Kluyveromyces lactis: one gene and its partner. The protein of the gene in region 1 interacts with the protein of each later gene in a biochemical or structural test. Links are inferred from orthologs where the notes say so. Each region holds a gene or a part of one and is shown on either strand. Other genes may lie near its edges.

What was found. The genes of interacting proteins can lie anywhere in the genome.
Region 2: the proteins of RPN11 (region 1) and SRP1 form a complex in vitro, tested with the Saccharomyces cerevisiae proteins (2 studies listed by BioGRID). The link is inferred for Kluyveromyces lactis from reciprocal best matches to the Saccharomyces cerevisiae genes RPN11 and SRP1.

The regions. Positions count from the first base shown.
Region 1 is NC_006041.1:1,251,380-1,254,165, reverse strand, and holds RPN11 (proteasome regulatory particle lid subunit RPN11), read left to right. Parts: upstream 1-1,350; coding exon 1,351-2,286; downstream 2,287-2,786. Other genes in the region: type 1 protein phosphatase-activating protein YPI1, read right to left, coding at 201-668; mRNA splicing protein SAD1, read right to left, coding at 2,399-2,786. UniProt on the Saccharomyces cerevisiae protein: Component of the lid subcomplex of the 26S proteasome, a multiprotein complex involved in the ATP-dependent degradation of ubiquitinated proteins.
Region 2 is NC_006040.1:729,394-733,142, forward strand, and holds SRP1 (karyopherin alpha), read right to left. Parts: upstream 2,413-3,749; coding exon 796-2,412; downstream 1-795. Other genes in the region: KAR1 (Kar1p), read right to left, coding at 1-307. UniProt on the Saccharomyces cerevisiae protein: Functions in nuclear protein import as an adapter protein for importin beta nuclear receptors. Binds specifically and directly to substrates containing either a simple or bipartite NLS motif. Promotes docking of import substrates to the nuclear envelope.

The sequences.
Region 1 (2,786 bases):
CCTACCATAATAGCATACAATAAAATAACCATGTGTAAGTCGATTGTTATTCGATATAATTGCCTGATAGATTATATATGCATATGTATATATATACATTTGAACTGCCAATTACCTTTTCAGCAGTGCATTGTTGTAGTGAGTAGAAGATGCAACGAAATGTACAAGAAGTGAAAGAGTATGCTGATCAAATTCCTAAATCATTGAGCGTCTTTTCTGTTCTTATCTCTATAAGCGCTGTAATCTGGCTGGACTTCGTATGCATTCGGACTTGGTGGACGTTTTTGCTCAAGCTTTTTTCTCCGCCTTTCGAGTCTTGCCTTTCTTCTTTCGTCAAAGCTTTTTCCCTCATCCTCGTCTGAAGAAGACGAAGATGATGAAGACGATGAATCATGTCCATGATTATGATCGTGCTCGCACTCTCCTTCCTCTTCTTCATCACTCTCTAATGGGGTATTAGGATGGAAAATGCAACAAATCTTAGTTTTCTTCTTGTTCATGTTCTCATTATCTATTACTTTCTCATCCCATCTTACTTTAGACTTGGTGTCCTTCTTCTTAGTTTTGTTTTTCTCATTCTGGCCAGCACGCAATTGAAGCAGCTGCGGAACCTCCGTAACAGTGACGGTATGCGTTCCTTCAGGAAGAGCAGAAGGTCCTTCACTCATATGTTAGGAAATATTTCAAAGTTTAATTATGATGATGGATCAAACTGATAAAAAAAGCGTGACGATAGGTAAAGTTTTCCTGTCTAAGTCTTGATAATCTTTCGTAATTTCACTTATCAAAGGACTGGGAACAAAGTATGAATAATGTAAGAAATCGTTTCCTATTTCTAAAATCTTCGGCGTCAATAAAACGGAATATTTTCTTCAACAAGTCGTGCTCTCGAGTATTTGACTGTACTAGACCATGGAGCTTCGCTTTGTATATGAGATATCCATGTATGCATAGAAGTACTCCAGTCTCATCTCATTTTTAAAGGGAAGAAAGAGGTTAAATATCTGAAGGTCAGAAAGTGGTGATGTTCGTTAATAATGACTACTAAATCCATAAGCCAAAAGAAAGATCGTAACTTTGTAATGCAGTGGCAAACAGTTTACAATTGATAAAGGTATAAGCAGATAATTCGTCAAGAATTCTCATCTCTGTACGTGTGGTATCCATAAGTCATTATTAGCAGTATTAGATACACAGTAATTGAAATCTACAAGACAATTGCATACTTCTCAGGAAAGAATAAGAATTTCAATTTGTTGGTACTTTATTAAGGAAGTATTATATCAAGAAACAGAACGCTGATACAAAAGCCAATTTATCGTCTCCGCAATTCAAATCCTTCAACAAAAGATGGAAAGTTTACAAAGAATGATGATGTCTCAAAGAGCAGGCATGATGGGTGCCAATGCCACCGAGGTTCCCCTTGATGACACCAAGGAAACTGTGTACATTTCTTCTCTTGCATTGTTGAAGATGTTGAAACATGGGAGAGCTGGTGTTCCAATGGAAGTCATGGGTCTTATGTTGGGAGAATTTGTTGATGATTATACAGTAAACGTTGTCGATGTGTTTGCCATGCCTCAGTCAGGTACAGGTGTTTCTGTCGAGGCTGTTGATGATGTTTTTCAAGCTAAGATGATGGATATGTTAAAACAAACAGGAAGAGATCAAATGGTTGTCGGATGGTACCATTCACATCCGGGTTTTGGTTGTTGGTTATCTTCAGTAGATGTGAATACTCAGAAATCATTTGAACAATTAAACAGCAGGGCTGTGGCGGTGGTTGTTGATCCTATTCAATCGGTGAAGGGTAAAGTGGTCATTGATGCATTCAGACTAATTGACCCTTCTACTGTCATGAGAAACCAGGAACCAAGGCAAAATACTTCTAATATCGGGTTGATCAACAAACCGAATATTCAAGCGTTGATTCATGGTCTAAATAGGCATTATTACTCGCTTAATATCGATTATCACAAGACTTCCGCCGAAATGAACATGTTAATGAATCTACATAAGGAACAATGGCAATCGGGACTAAAAATGCATGATTTCAAGGAAAGAGAGGAGCACAACTTGGGTGAAACTCAGAAAATGATTAAGATCGCTGAACAATTCACTAAGAGAATTGAGGAAGAGAGAGAATTGAGTGAAGAAGAATTGAAAACGCGTTATGTAGGAAAACAGGATCCAAAAAGACATCTTGCAGAGACTGCTGAAAAGCTCTTGGAAGACAATATAGTATCTGTATTAACAGCGGGTGTTAACTCTGTTGCTATTAAATAACCATCTTACATACAGTAAAAATACATCAACTTCAATTTGCGAGATAAGTTTTAGCCGATGAAATGATGAATCGATCCAAGAGTGTAGATAATCTGAATAACGAAAGCAGTTTCTAAACGCGTTGCCATATTTGAATGTAACATTCTTTAAGGAAAAGAAACTCTTTCTCAACCTTATTCACTTCAATGTCATCAAACTCGTACCATTGGTCGCGTAAAGTATCAGCGAGGTGTACTTTCCATCTGCTGGCTAACAAATCTTCTGTATCCGATATTTTCATTTGTATTACGCAATCATGGGTGATATTTACTAGTAATTTATAGTGTACACCACTGAATTCTAATTTTTCAGAGAACTCTACTAGAGTTTTGTTTCTATCTTTAATGGAAGTGAAGCCTTTGTCAAACCTGTTGAAATGAAGTATTAGGAATTTAGGATGCTTCAATATACGGTACGTTTTGATGGAATCTTTGGTATGGTATTCTGTTTCGCCATTGAAT
Region 2 (3,749 bases), on another chromosome or scaffold:
CAATGCTTTGTTTAGATCGCAGCTTCGGCATAAACTGTGGGTTAACTTCATCATCAAACGTTTCGCTGGAGCTTACAGACCCCGGAGTAGTAACATTACTCGATGATTTGTACTTCACAGTATCTTCCTCCTCAGAAATATTTAAAGGCCCGCATATATCTTGCAAAACACTTGTGCTATTGTTCGAAACAACTGATACCTCATCTTTAATCTTCGCGTCAAACATTTTGTTGATCCGTTTTATTCGTGAGTCACTAATCTTTCTCTGGGGAGACCGCAGATTGAGAAATTCAGGCATTGAACTCATATTATCGCATCAGCGTAATATTCAACTCCGAGCTTTGAAGTAGCACATATGCATTGGATATTTCCTTTTCGTGTGATTATAGGCGATGTTTCACCGAGGAAATTTCGATTGTGTATTTTTAAAGGTTTACAAAAATCCAAACCTTTAAATGTTGATATTATGCATCGGAACATGTAGAGGTAACACCGAAAGTGATATGCACCTAACTGGTCACCTAATTTCTATGACAGAGAGAAGGTCCATGATACTGTTTTTTGAGCACAGTTTTTACTTTTATCGTGGTTCAAAACTGCAAATAAGACTTGGGCCCTTTAATGACATAGAATTCTGTTTCACAATGAAGGGAGAAGTGTAGATTAATAATACTATAGATAGATTACATTAATGCAAAAATTATATGATATTTAACAGGCGCGTAGTATTCATTTATTGTCTAGAATAAAAAAAGCAAATGTAATTACATGACACACGCACAGCTAGAGTTGGTTTTAATTGAAGTTGAATTGCTGGTTGACATTTGATCCAAATCCAAAAGTGTTACCAGCTGTTTGTGGAGCCATAGATTCATCAACAACATCATCTTCATCACTAAAGTACTTTTCAATGATCTTGAAGGCCTTTTCGTAAATTTTTTCGTTAGCATTAGACTGTAAATTGAAGATCTTTTCCATACCACCAGCTTTCTCAATGAAATCAGCATTTTCGTTCACGGCAATACCTCTGACTTCTCTATCCATTTCACCCATCTTCAAAATATTTTCTATAGCATCTAGTGTAACCTCTATGATTCTGTTATCAGCAATCTCTAATAGATCGCACAATGGTTTTATACAGCCTTGACTGACCAAATATCTGATAATTTCTGGCTTGTGTAACCCACCAGAAGAGGCATTCGAGATGGCCCAACATGCTTCTTTCTTTGTCTTATATTCTGCAGTTTCCAACAATCTGATTAATGGTGGAATTAAGTTAGCATCAATAACGGCTTGAATCTGTTCCGTATTACCAGCGGTTATATTAGAGATGGTCCAACAAGCTTCCTTTCTTATGGATTCCTTTGGAGAAGCCAATAGATTTCTTAGAGCTGCCAAGGCTCCACAGTTGATAACGATCTGAGTTTGCAAATCGTTACCTGTGACAATGTTACCTACAGCTCTTAGAGCAGGGGTTTGCACTAACGTAGATTGGTGGGATAGTAGTTCTACAAGTCTCTTTGGGATTCTAGCATCTACTACCGCTTGGATCGAATTAACCGGGCCATCGGAAAGATATGAGATAGCCCAACAAGCATCGACTAACGTTTCAGTATCCATGGAGTAGATTAGCTTAGACAAAGTTGGCAAAGCTTGAGACACGATAGACCAATCTGGTTGAGGTTTCTTACCACGACACAAGTTAGATAAAGTCCACGTAGCTGTTCTAATCAAGGAAGTCTTGTTCAATTCGAACAAATATAGAATTGGTTGCATGGCACCACATTGCAAAACGTAGTCTCTATAATCGGTGGAATCACCAGCAACGTTACCCAAGGCCCAAATAGCTTGTTCCTTCACTTCAACCGAGTTTGAATATAATAATTGAATGAATAATGGCACAGCACCCGCATCTACGACGACTCTAGTCTGCTCAGAAGTACCAGAAGCAATGTTCGTCAACGCCCAAGCAGCTTCCAATTGCAACATCTCAGGTTGATTTTCGCTCATGAATTGGACCAAGGTTGGCACTACGCCAGTACTGATAACCAAATCGATAGGTGGTCTGTGTTCTCTAGACAAGACTTGTCTAAACTTGACCGTCACAGCCAACTGTTGTTGTAGATCGTTAGAATGGATTTGTTCCAACATAGCAGGCAACTCCTGTTGTAATTGTCTGTAGAAAGAGGAGTCCTGATCGTCATCATCATCATTTTCATCATCAGAATCGTTACCAACAGGCGCATTGAAATTTCTTCTTTTTGCTAATGCCTCATCCCTCTTGACTTTTCTCAACTCGACTTGTTGAACGTCTCTACGACGACGTAATTCATCAGCAGAGAATCTACCCTTATTCTTGAAGTTTGTCCTCCTGTATTCAGGAACAAACTTGCTGGAAGTGTCACCGTCCATCTTTCACTTATAAAATAATAAAACGGATACCTGCTATCTGATCCTTCGTGCTAGCCGCGAACCAAAGAAAATTCAGAGAAGTAAAAAAAAAGATTGTAACTAATTCCTTTCTACCAAACTCACAATCACAATTGATCGTCCCGTCTTTTCAAGTAGATATTTTTGCAAATGGGTTCCAAATCAAACAAAAATAAAGAGAAGTTGGATTTAAAGAAGAAATTATCAGTCGCAAAATCAATCTCTAACAATCACAAATAGCGTTTCCCCTTGAGTAAATGAAAATCTGATTCGTTTCTTTGTATTGCTTGACAGAAAAATATATCGGAAGCCAAGAGCACCGTATTGTTTTATATATGTAACAGTGTAATTGAAGTAGAATGCAAACCAATCTTTTATTCAATCCCATATAATATCCATCTTGATTAAAATCCTTCTTTTTTGGCCATCCAAAAAATTCGAATTTTTTTTTTTGGTTGAAATTTCTTTGCCAGATAGTCGTGATGTACGGAGTTGTCACGTGACATACCAACCTCGTGTAAGAAAACGACAAAGGTTCTAACATCAAAAGACAGGAAAAGATGGGCAGGGTCAATTTGACACACTTTTCAACACATATTAAGAGATGTATATACGTATACATAATATATTTGGGATGGTTGGTAATATAAATATATCACCGGGGATTCCTTGTTTTCGTTCCTCATTCATTCTCATGATACACACACACTAAAGTATACATGAGGGTAAGTTGATGAGAGTAGAAGCGAAAGAATTGTGATACAATCAACTAGCATAAGTTCCTTTTTCTATTTCCCCCTTTAGTAAGCATCAAAAATACATTCACTGGGTATTGGAGATGGATGGAATGATTTGAGGGAGAGAAAAAGGAATGGACAAAACCGCTCAGTTGATGTTTTATTGACATGTTCTCTCTAGCAGCATTTTGAAAATGTCCCTCACAAATAAATGAGTGCTCGAATGAACAGGCGGGAAAGATTCAGAATTCAACGCCAAGAAAGAAACACGGTTCACCTACTGCACTCCATTCCTTTTTGTTATATATATACTCCAAATATCGACGATTATGAATTTTCACAACACACACACTGCTGTACGGTTCATAAACGTCAATTTTTTTTCATTCATGAAATGGAATAATTTTCAAATTAGGACACAGATAGATGAGATTGAGTAGTATATACTGTGTTAATTTAACACAATACACTTACACTCAAAACAAAAAATTTGTTAGCACGCGACACGACACACGACACACATTCACGACACGCAGCAACGACATAGGTAAGGTAGTAGAATAATATAGGTAATTCATGGAA